Bombyx mori: one gene and its partner. The protein of the gene in region 2 purifies or fractionates together with the protein of the main gene of each other region. This does not show direct contact. Links are inferred from orthologs where the notes say so. Each region holds a gene or a part of one and is shown on either strand. Other genes may lie near its edges.

What was found.
Region 1: the proteins of MYND-type zinc finger-containing chromatin reader ZMYND8 (region 2) and metastasis-associated protein MTA3 purify together in Homo sapiens (affinity purification with mass spectrometry; 3 studies listed by BioGRID and IntAct, with this or other methods). This does not show direct contact. The link is inferred for Bombyx mori from reciprocal best matches to the Homo sapiens genes ZMYND8 and MTA1.

What each region holds. Positions count from the first base shown.
Region 1 is NC_085131.1:3,859,866-3,866,316, reverse strand, and holds part of metastasis-associated protein MTA3, read right to left. Parts: intron 5,199-6,451; coding exon 5,005-5,198; intron 3,893-5,004; coding exon 3,775-3,892; intron 3,091-3,774; coding exon 2,888-3,090; intron 1,934-2,887; coding exon 1,745-1,933; intron 752-1,744; coding exon 618-751; intron 116-617; coding exon 3-115; intron 1-2. UniProt on the Homo sapiens protein: Transcriptional coregulator which can act as both a transcriptional corepressor and coactivator. Acts as a component of the histone deacetylase NuRD complex which participates in the remodeling of chromatin.
Region 2 is NC_085121.1:12,324,837-12,331,287, reverse strand, and holds part of MYND-type zinc finger-containing chromatin reader ZMYND8, read right to left. Parts: intron 4,690-6,451; coding exon 4,519-4,689; intron 3,120-4,518; coding exon 2,944-3,119; intron 2,472-2,943; coding exon 2,361-2,471; intron 1,795-2,360; coding exon 1,682-1,794; intron 981-1,681; coding exon 888-980; intron 738-887; coding exon 1-737. UniProt on the Homo sapiens protein: Chromatin reader that recognizes dual histone modifications such as histone H3.1 dimethylated at 'Lys-36' and histone H4 acetylated at 'Lys-16' (H3.1K36me2-H4K16ac) and histone H3 methylated at 'Lys-4' and histone H4 acetylated at 'Lys-14' (H3K4me1-H3K14ac).

The DNA of each region.
Region 1 (6,451 bases), on a different chromosome or scaffold from region 2:
ACCTTGACATGATGCACAGAGTTGCGGCGCGGGCGTGCCGTTTGTGCCTCCGTTTAGGACACCGCTTTTGCTACCACTGCTGTTGTTCGTAATTAACGCCGGATTCGGTTTGTTACTGAAAATATATAACTAGAATTTAGAATTTGTTATGTCTCCAATTCGGCATTGTTGAAAATAAAATTCATTCTCATTATCTAACAGCAAATTTTAACTCCGAACGAAAAACTCTCAGTTTAATTAATTCTTAAACTAAACTGGACTTTATAATGTGACCTTCACACATACAAATCAACAAAACTGGGTTAAGATCGACTTTCAAGATTCATTAACATAGTTTGTAACAAATCAATTTTAGTTTTATATAGATATTTTAGTATCAATAATGTGCAACATATAATAATATTTATGAAACAATAACTCAGGAAATAGTTATTATTAGATTAAATAGGCAGCGCAGGACCAGTCTTTGTGGCGAGGCTTGGGGGAGGCCAATGTCCAGCAGTGGACGTCTTTGGGCTGATAAGAAGAAGAGGAACCCAGGAATTAGTTGTATTATATATTTAAGCAAAAATAATAATAATAATAAAGAAGTATAGTTTGTCGGTACAAACACTCACTAGTTGGGAATGTACACTTGTTTCAGTTTTGACTCAGCTTCGACCGCTTTCACGCGTTTCTGTTGTACGTAGCGATCCGTCGTCTTCCACATGTAGTAGTACTCCACTAAATTCTTTAACGTTTTCCATGGTAACTGTGACGAAACGAAAAACTAAAGAGCTTACATTGAAGAAATATAATTTTGATAATAATACTACTATTATAGTTAATACATTGATTTTAAAATTTGGAGAAGAAAGGAAACCATTGTTATTAAGGTACTGATGAAGAAAAGTATGTACTACAGAAGTCTTATCATGTAAAGTTCAAAGTATGAGAATTCAGTAGATACTAATGCAGTATGATTCTTCACACTCATTCATGGTAGTGTGGATCGCAAGATCGTTTGTCTTCGTTTGTAATTCTCGAACTTAGTGCACTGTTGTATTTCATTGAATAATTATGCACCTATGTATTTATGTTATATATATCGCAATCAATTTTTAATCTATGGCATTTTTACGTTTTCAGTTCGCGCCGTGGATTTGTTGGCGCGAGGAGTGAAGTCATGTGATTTGTTTTAATTTGTCTATTTAGTGTTTCTTCAGGTTTAAATGTGTAATAACGGTGGTTTATTAACTGTTTACTTTCTGTGAAAGTGCACAAATGTGGGAAAATGAAACAAAGGCGCTGGACGTAACTTCTCGGGATCCTCCACAAAGTCTACTGAAATGACCACCATTTTATATTTCATCCCATATCATCTCATCTCATTAATTTCATTCCAGTTGATTAATGTCTCAAATTAATCATGTTCGTTTCATTGCATTTCCTTTCACTCCATATTATCATTTTTCATAAAAATAAGAATATAAATTAAAATAAGACATGACTTAAAGGTCTTAGATACCAGGTCATAAAATACCATTTAAAAAATATCAGATCGCGCTCATTTCGTTAATTTCATTTTAGAATTTTCAAAAGATAGTTTGGATGTACCAACACCCTATTATATATTTTAATATTGTTTTTAAATTCGAAATACCATCGAATTTTCCTTTTAACGTTCAATGAATGAATTGGCAAAGAAGTTATTGCAGAATAACAATGAGCCTTAATGCAATAGGTTATAAGGTGCAATACTAACAAAGTCCTGTCGTATATCAGCGAAGTCCTTTCCGTATTTGTCGAGTGCCTCCTCGAACAGGTTGGCCTCGGAGGCGGACCACTCCTCCATCTCATCGCGGCACAGCACGGGGCCCGACGCCGGCACCAGCGACGACAGCGCCGACTCTATGCTGTAGCCAGACTTGTGGAGGGTGTCCATCGCGTGGAACTGCAAACACATTATCATCGTTTTAGTTAGTTTCTAGCTAGAGACACAACTTATGCGCCAAGCAGCAATGCGTTTCGGTTTGAAGGGTGGGGCAGCCGTTGTAACTATACTGAGACCTTAGAACTCATATCTCAAGGTGGGTGGCGAGATTTACGTTGTGGACGTCTATGGGCTCCAGTAACCACTTAACACCAGGCGGGCTGTGAGCTCGTCCACCTATCTACGCAATAAAAAATAAATAAATAAAAAATATGTTGGTATTTCCATTTTCGTTTAAATCATTTAATAATGAAATAATTAGTCTAAGTTTGTCACCATTAATATGCGTTATATAGGTACAGTTCAGAAATCATTTTGTTTTAAAACCTTGTACATGCGACAAGGTGGTACGAGAGTAGTTTTAAGAAATCGATATTCTTTATACAATTAGCTATAATTCACATATTATCATAAATAACCACGTATTATTAAAAATAAATTATATTTAATTTGTTGTAGTTATAATAATACCCAATATTTATTTTTCTTCTATCCATAGATAGGATATACCTTTAAACACTCCTAACCTTTTAATCGTCATAATACGAATTCCGAGGCAAGAATATTTGATTTGATATTGGCATATTAAGACCGAAGTATTTTTATACAACGCAATACATTGATTCAAGTGTCATGTTTTAGCATTGTCCATGATTATTGTAAAATACCAGACGGTGTAAAAATCAGTACAAACTTTCTATTTGCAAGATGTACCTACCCTCATTTTCAAACTTAACCTATCGACTAGTTCTTAATAATACAATGTTCCCAAGTTATATATACATGTAAGGTATGTGAACTTGGTTGAATTAAACTACAAGACTGTTTGACATCGCAATGCCACACGCACAGTCAATTCTCTGCACGCTGATCTTATCAAGAGCAAGATAAAGCAGGATAGAAGATATGATTTACCAGTGTGATGTCCCTGCTCGCGGCGGCGGCGGACATGTGCAGCGAGGGCTGCTTGACGCTGGAGGAGCAGTCGAGGGCTCGTGCGAACGTGCCCACGGACCGCGACACAACTAAGAACTGATCTATCTGTCGGTCCGTGAGCCCGTGCTCCGGTGTCCAAACCAACGTTTCTAATTCTTCACTGATCCGTGGGTCCTCTTCGCCTGGAAAACACAATTTACACCATTAATTGAGTTATGAAAGATCTCATATAACGGTTAGGCAAAATTATATTCTCTTCAGATAACTCTTATTTTATGTATTTATATTTCTGTTTATCAGTGCCTTATGATAGAAAAATAGCAACCATTCAGATCTTGTGGCCAATGCCACTGCTTTCACTTTTAATTGAATAAAGTATGTAGAACTGAAGTTTCATAACATTAGAACAACCACTATAATAGTGTACAATACAGAATTGCTTAGCGGCCTAAACTCACAGGATAGATGGTGTATCAATCAACTCTAATAACATGCTACCGGTACCTAATATAAGTAGGAGCGTTGGTTAAAGAAAAAGGGTAGGTAAAGATTTTAAAGGAATTACTACGTTGAAAAAAGGATGTGACTAACTACTAGTAGAAGGTTGTAGTTATTTATCAATAACATCTGACTGACACTCTCTCTCTCTGATCATCTCTGGTTTGAATTATATTGTAAGCTCATTGACACACAATTTTATATTTATAAAGATTGAATAATTTGAATATATAGGGGCAATCCACATTTATTCAGATTAGTACTGTAAGGTCTTTAGTACCTTTTTAGTGATTATGATATCATCCTGTTGGAAAAAAAATACAAAAAAATGTTCTAAATCTTTAGTTTATTTGTTAGAATTGACATACCTTCTTTTAATAAATTAGTTACTTCAGTCTGATATCTACTTCCAACTCTGATTTCTCCCTTATCTGCTAATAAAGTCTTTTGTGAAGGATCAAATACTAAACAATAAAAAAATGCGTCCTGAAACAAAAGAGAAAAGTTTTTTAATTAAAATTCAATTTTATTATTTTGATTTTCCTTTTGGTTACTTGAACTTTAAAATCTTCTTTAATCTTCATAATTGGATACATTTCAATATAATTTTATATAATCAAGATCAGACTTTAATGAAATGGAACGTTTGAAACATTTTATTGTTTGACCAAAACTTACTTTGAGTATTACAAGACGCAACTAATTAATTACTTTTAAAAGACATGTAATTATAATTCTGGTCAGTATTGAATATTAATGGACTAATTTAAAAAAATCTTTGACACATACATAATGAGCTTTTGAGTACATTATCTGTGGTTTTTTCTAATTACAAATTGACACTCTTAGGGTAAGGTCTATCATAATTAAGACAGATGTATTAACATTAAGAGTAATATTTTAATACTTCCAATTACTGTATTTTATATTTATGTGGGAACGATTAAGCAACTTATCTAATACATTGAAGCCTTTATTTCATAATATAACCGTGTATGTACTTAAAACAATCGTATTAAATCTTTAATTCCATGTTTAATTAGAATTTTTATTTTTACATTTAAATTCAAAATTAAATTGTACATTTCTATGGTGTTATCCAAATTTAGTTTTAGGATCCAAGTGGTTAGTTTTTATAAGAGACTAGCCGTTGCATTAGAAATTACCATTATTATTTATTGGCATTATTATTAGGGAGTCCAACACTCATATAAATATTAGCCTATCCATTAAGTACATGTATTTTCTACATGGATACCAAGTTTCAAGTCAATCGGATGCATGGTTCAGTAGTTATAACGGAACATCCGTAAAAACCACTGTAGATTTATATATTAGTATAAATAACTTAGATTCGAAAAAGGCAAAGGGAGGACGGTTAAAAACAAAAATCCCGATATGCTTCTCCTCCTCGCGTCGTTTCCTCAATGCTGAGGATCGTGACCATTATATGTCGACAGGATTTTGCTCCTTGTAATGTCCCGCCAGCGCCTCCGATCATTGGCCGCATGAAAGGCGTCGTGGAATGGGATCTCTAGTGCGATATGCTTAATGTAGTTTTGTTATCAGTGCGTTCGTATCCCCGGGTACATACTCACATCCTTATTGAGATAGCTGAGCAGCGACTCCGTCTCGTTGAGTAGCGTGACGGTGCACTTGCCGCGAATGTGCGTCGCCGGCAACGTTTCCACGTGCCTGGACAGGAACAGCTCGCGGTGTTTCGCTTGGTGCCGCTGCTTCGGCGCCAGGCCGTCTGTACCTGGCAATTCGGTAGATTCCTCCTCCATCGCCGCTGTAACAGAGAAAATTATATTGTTTTTTTTATTGATTAGATGGGTGGAGCTCACAGCCCACCTGGTGTTAAGTGGTTATAGGAGCCCATAGACATCTACAACGTAAATGCGCCACCCACCTTGAGTTATAAGTTCTAAGGCCTCAAGTATAGTTACAACGGCTGCCGTCAACTTATATCGACAGATCAAGTGAGCTCGACCAGGAAGAAGGTAAGACAGCATCATCTAATTCAATAAACCGTTTATAAAAATCACTATCACTACATAGTATAAAACAAAGTCGCTTTCTCTGTCCCTATATCCCTATATATGCTTAAATCTTTAAAACCACGCAACGGATTTTGATGCGGTTATTTTAATAAATAGAGTGATTGAAGAGGAAGGTATGTATAATAACATCCATTAAATAGTGTAGAAATCAATAATAAATTACAGTTTCCGAAGCGAAGCGAAGGGCGGGTCGCTAGTTTATTATAAAATTTAGTCAGTAAAAGTTGCTATAGAGAACACACATCATAGGTTTAGAAGCCGGAATAGTAATTAGTAACTTTTCAAAACTACAGTAATTCTATAGTACTTGTAATAAAATAACTAACATGATTCCTATTTATGTTTGTATATATGCTCTTTGACACACAACTCGTACGTAATATCCAAAATCAATGGCTTCAATAGAAAATTGTGTGGCGATCGTACGAGGCGAGGGTCCAAGAAGGGTGACAAATCCGCTACATTGTCTTTTTTTTGTATTTGCGACATTGCATTATTTAGTTGGTACGCAAACCTGGGCTTCTCCTTATTCATATAAAATATGTAACTATGTTGAGTTCTCATGTAGAGCATCAAAACCGGTTTTTACAAATCGCGATTACAAGATAGTAACTCCCCGAACCGGTAACAATCAAGACTCATGCGTAAATATTCAAAATATATGAAGACAAATTTAAATGCACTGAATATTATAAAATCATCAGTATATTGAATATATAATGAGAAAACATAGTATAGAACTATATTCAAATACTTTACTAAACAGGGGTTATCGTTTGCCGTATTCGTAGTTCTAAAATGATAGAAGCAGAGCAGGGAATGTAAGTGTTGTTCATTTTAAAAAAAAGTTTTTAAGGTAGGTGGTGGTAGGACCTCTTGTGAGTCCGGACGGGTAGGTACCACCGCCTTGCCTATTTCTGCCGTGAAGCAGTAATGCGTTTCGGTTTGAAGGGTGGGCCAGCCGCTGTAAACATACTGAGAC
Region 2 (6,451 bases):
TCACAGCCTCTGCGGGCGGAGTCTTCTCTGCTAATTTTATCGCTTCGCTATCTTTAACTTTGATAACTGATATTTTACTTGCGGGTTTCTCTTTGTTGGCAGCGTTTGGGTTTTCGTTGTTTTTATCGGTTTTCATCCTGTCATTTTTTTCATTTTTAGAACTTATGCTACCGTTCAGGGATTTGTTACTTTTGGAATTCCTTCTCTTTTCATGTCTACTCTTGCTTTCCCTGCTTTGTCTCTCTGTGGAGCTCCTGCCTGGTTTATTTTTTTGTTTTGATGCGGATCTTTCATCTTTTGGCGTCACCAGAAGAGATTTATCGTTGGGGGTGCTAGTTCTGGGAGATTCTCTGGTGCCGCTAGATTTCGGAGTGTGTCGGTTATGTTTAGGTAATATTATTTTTATTGGAGTGACGGTTCGGTTTTTCTCAACTATTTTCTCTTTACCTTTGACTGAATCGTTTGACTCATCGATCGAGATAACTGAATCATCATCGTCTATTGGAATAATAACGTTCTCTGGTTCTTTCTTTTTGATCTTTGGTAATTCTTTATTGCTCATATCTTTTGTGTCTATCTTTTTATCAGATTTTTCATCATCGACTCGCTTTTTTTTCTCGTTGGCTGTGTTGTCTTGCACCGGTGTGTCTGTAACACAGGAGCGCCGTCTTTTCCGCGAGTTTTCAGTCTCTTTTGTGTCTTTCACCGCAGATTCGTCAACTTCCATTAACTTTTGACTGCAACATAATAGTTATAATCAATTGAACAGATGAAACCGAATATCTCGAAATGAATAAATAATAAAATTAAAAATCTTATTTTGATGCATTTAACTGATTACATATTTAACTAATTGTTTTATTAGCAACTAAAAAAAAAATATTTACTTCTGCTCCATCACCTCGTCCTTTGAATCATTAATATTATCATTAATTTTATTACAAGGCTGCCCCAGTAGATCTTCTGCTTCGCTTATATCACTGAAAACATTATTTCTGCTATGTCATTATGTATAGCCAGGTCACCTAGATTGTATTTTTACCTTAACGGAGGCCATTAACAATGTAAATGAATATTTAGTAGGCATATAGAAATCAAACTGGTAAATCGAATCAAAACAATCACAATTTAAAATATAATACGAGTTTATGTTAACTTAGATCAATGCACAATTGACGGTAATCATTTATTATACCAAAATATATATTTTTAACTGTTCTTAAGCACGAGAGCTGGTTAGATTAGGTTATTCGGATGCCAGATGTACAGATAATAATCAAAAAAAGTTTTACTTGGTATTGACTACTTGTAAGACTAACGTTTCGTGTTAAAATTACTAGATTTATTTATTTAGATTCTGTGTTCACGCTAGTACAATATTTAATAGAACATAAATAGAATTGCACGAATTATTCGACCACTTGTGACCTAAATTAATTATGTATGCAATTACCGTTTTCGATGTTTTGTTATCTTTAACAAAAATCTAATTTGCTTAATTTGTTATCAGAGGGAAAAACTACATATCTTCTATAACTAAATACACTATGCAATGTATTAGCCATTTATGAGCCGCAACACATCAGACAAAATCCTTAGAAGATATCCAGTTTTTTGCGTGGCGTGCGCGGTATTATTGGCTAAGCGAAGATTTACAACATAGCTCAAACAGTGTAGTCACCTGCCATTTGTAGAGTTCTTAGAGCATTTAGAATTGGTCCTGCTCTTGTCTTTTGTTGTATTCGGCGATTTATCCTTGACCGTAACACGTATCTCACCCTCGAACGATGGTATCTGAAAACCGACAGAGCTAATTAACAATTATTAATATGGAATATTTAACTCAATCACTATCGTTAGTGTGTATTGAGATCAGTACTGTCATCCGTCAGTCGCGATTCTGATCCGGTTGTACATTTTTTTATAGCTTAGATGGGTGGACGAGCTCACAGCCCACCTGGTGTTAAGTGGTTACTGGAGCCCACAGACATCTACAACGTAAATGCCGCCACCTACCTTGAGATATGAGTTCTAAGATTTCAATATAGTTACAACGGCTGCCCCATCCTTCAAACCGAAACGCATTACTGCTTCACGGCAGAAATAGGCGGGATGGTGGTACCTACCCGTGCGGACTCACAAGAGGTCCTACCACCAGTAAGATTCTGTGAAGCACTGCTCTTGCTAGGACTAGTGTTAGCGAATTCTCTCAGGTTGAGCCCGTGAGCTCACCTACCCGTCAGGGCGTAGCTGGAATAGCCTCTTAAGCTACCAGAAAATAAGTAAGGAAAAAAAAACGATGCGGGTGCGGTTCTGAGACTTCGATCTCCCGCATCAAGATTTAACAGCCTAGTACATACCATCACTCTCATTTGCTCGTTTAATTTCGCAGGATCGAATTGCGTTCTGAACGGGGGGTAGACGAATTTTCCATACTTCCTCGATATGTTACGAATGTGTTCTTCGGCTTCCTGAAAAAAAGGCAGACTTATATTATTATAAAACTTTAAACGGAGACGTGTTTGTAGCGACAGTATTACACTTGACAAAAAATGTGGCCCTATCAATAACTCTAAGACTAGATCAATTTACGATTGACAGTCGGACTCCAAGCGAAATCAGAAGAAACACTTTTTACTGGTGGTAGGACATCTTGTGAGTCCGGACGGGTAAGTACCACCACCCTGTTTATTTCTGCCGTGAAGCGGTAACGAGTTTCGGTTTGAAGGGTGGGACAGCCGTTGTAACTATACTGAGACCTTAGAACTTATATCTTAAGGTGGGTGGCGCATTTACGTTGTAGATGTCTATGGGCTCCAGTAACCACTTAACACCAGGTGGGCTGTGAGCTCGTCCACCCTTCTAAGCAATAAAAAATTGACGAGCTACGGCAAAGTCGCCGTTGCTAACACAAAACGTACTGTATGAATTCGATTCACAAACCTGCATGCTGTCCAATATATCCTGTCGCTTAGTTCTAAAGTTGTTTGGATCCTTCTCCGAGTACAGGAAGCAGTCTTTGGCCGGCACCCAGGCTCGATCGTGGGCGCCGAAGAAACGCACGTCGACCAGACCGGCCGGACTCACCGACATGCCTTTCGCTGGCCAATATGGAAACCCTGGTAACAATAGCACATAAAATATTAAAGTATATATAACGTAGATAGCGGCTTGGCTCTGCTCCTGGCATTGCTGAAGTCCATGGGCGACGGTAACTACTTACCATCAGGTGGGCCGTATGCTCGTCTGCCTACAAAGGCAATAAAAATAATTAAAAATAAAAAGTATTGAAGTCGTCGTGGCCTAAAAGATAAAAGACGCAATCGTATCAAGCGATGCACCGATGTTCGAATCCCGCAGGCGGGTACCAATTTTTCTATTGAAATACGTACTTAACAAATGTTCACGATTGACTTTGACTTTCATAGTTAAGGAATAATATCGATAGTAAAAATCAAAGCCGCAAAAATATATTTTGCGTAATTACTGGTGGTAGAATGTCTTGTGACTTCGTACGGGTAGGTACCACCACCCTGCCTATTTCTGCCGTGAAGCAGTAATAGCACGTTACAATGTACATATTATTGAAGATATAAGGCAAGAAGAGTTTCTGTCTGCCAATTGGTCAGTGGTAAAACTCATGACAAATCCTTATACAGCGACACCACGCAAAGTGGGATAAGGGCAAGAAGAAAAAGATTTTAAGTTTTAACTTAGAAAACTAAAGTAATATTATATCTTTTATATCCACACAATAACTAAATCCACAGATACAACTACTAAGACATATTATACTATACCAATAATTTTATATCTTATTAGTAAAACTCAAGCTCTGCACGATTAGTTGTATAAAAAATGATCATTTGCTGAAACTAATCGCGCGCCATCAGTTGCAGGTTGGTGGAACTATCAAAAGTCTTCCCTGATTGTCAACGATTGCAAAGCCCTAAGCACGTCATTACAGATCCTCCCGATCCATTAACGGTGCTTTTAGGTACCTCAAGCACCGGTCACCGGACACAGCCCACTGAGTTTCTCGCCGGATCTCAGTGGGTCGCGTTTCCTAACCGGTGGTAAATTCTGCGAAGCACTGCTCTTGCTAGGGCCAGTGTTAGCAACACTCCGTGCCCCGTGAGCTCACCTACTAGCTCGGTGAATCTAGAATAACCCCTCGAGGTTACTAGAATAGGTCGAAAAAAAAGCACTTGCGAACTTTTTTTTTATTACTTAAATGGGTGGACGAGCTCACAGTCCACCTGGTGTTAGGTGGTTACTGGAGCCCATAGACATCTACAACGTAAACGCGCCACCCACCTCGAGATACAAGTTCTAAGGTCTCAGTATAGTTACAACGGCTGCCCCACCCTTCGAACCGAAAGGCATTACTGCTTCACGGCAGAAATAGGCAGGGCGGTGGTACCTACCCGTGCGGACTCCCAAGAGGTCCTACCACCAGTCCTACCAACATACAGATATTTCATTATTAACAAATTACAACACAGATTGTGTGTATACCTTTAAGTTTAGCCCACAAGAGTATGTGCGGAGTGGAGCACACGTCTGTGAACCAGGTGGGTTTGCGCGCATGCGCGGCCGCGTAGCACTCGGGACACGCCTCGATCTCGCCCATCTCCGCACGACACGAGCGCACCACCGCCCTCGCGGCGCCGGTCAACTTCGACTGAACTGAAATATACGGACAATAAGTATGACGCAATATTAAAATTCTATTTTTTTTTATATATGTCTTAGATGATTGAAGAATTATTTTATAATATTTCTTTTTTTAATTAATTAATTTTATAATATTTCGTATCAATATAATGAAATCAACGCAAATTTTAAAATTTATTATTGTTCATAGAAAATTATATAAGCGTCAAAAATGAATTGTCTACTCTAATGACGTTATCAAATCTTAACAATGCATAGGACATACGAACTACGTCTTGCAACGATTTTTTTAAAAAAAATTGTTGTTTAGTTAGATGGATAGATGAGCTCACGGCCCACCTGGTTTGGAGTGGTAACCGGAACCCATAGACATCTACAAGGTAAATACCGCCACCCACCTCAAGACATATGTTGTAAGGTCGCACTTTTAACAGTACAATACGGCCCGAGAATTACACTCAATTATTCATTAGATTCGAATCACAAAAATCGTTATTATTTAGCTTACTCAAATAGAGCGACGATTTTTAACATTACCAGTACCGCTAAGCTTAATGACTGCTTAATAGCAACTTACTAGTGCCTGTTAGAAAATGTTTAAAAATAATAAATCGTGTCCAGCCTCTAACCTCTAAACAATTACATGAAAGAACACAGATGCTACTACTGCTCATGCAGTACAATGTCTATACGGTCGAATTTTATTGTTTTATGAAACAATAAAATCATATTATCTTCTTATTAGTGACAACGACAAGCAGTTTTTTAAACTATAGTATTCGAATACAAAGATCGCGCTATGATCACATCATTCGATACGAGTATACCAGACTTATTTATTACGCCACAAGCGCTTTTTTCTCTTTCGTAGGCAGATGAGCACAAGACTCACCTATGTGGCCACGATTGCTAATGCCAGAAACATAGCCTAGTCACTACCTACTGCATTAATTAGACAATAATGACAAAACCAGTCTCGTCTATTTTCGGTGATAATTAAATATACTGTATGTCGTAGTACTCAACTTTTTATAAAAAAGCTTGCTTATATCTTGTCTCAAAACTTTAACAGTGGGTAATTTATTTTACGTACCGAACAGCATTAAACATATTATACATTTTTACAGTTAAATTATGACAACTCTATTATAACATGACGGATTTAGTGTTATTATTACTTTTATCATATTATATAGGGTGTTTATTAATTTTTTTATTTAATTTATTTGCGTGGAGTGGAGTTGCGTGCAAGACCATGGCTGATTAAAAAGCAAGTATGTATTTTTTTTTCTTCTTTCATATTACTATTTTTTTACTTATTATTCGGCTTTCAACTATCGACTTTTAATAATGTACATCAAATACAGTAAACTGACACACGTTCTAATTGCAATTTAATATAAAGAGATCTAATTTCCATAGTATTTCTTGAGTTGTAGATGCGACAGCGTAATAAACCCATTCAACGCAAGATAAATTTTCGATAAACAATAACTAAGTCAATGTGATTTCTAATATACATACTAATCGTAACATCGGAAATGGTAAAGTTAAAATTAAAAATAAACATACAATATTATACTACAATATTATTTTTTATTATATTGGGGTTATATGATGCAATACATTTTACCCTTCAACAAAATCAATAATCAGATCTCAGAAAAACTACACAGCATGCGAATACGTTAACAATCGAAAATCGAAGCACATTTATTTAGTATTCATTAAAAAGAACATGAGGTGAATGAAATTAATATGTCGTCAATAAAAA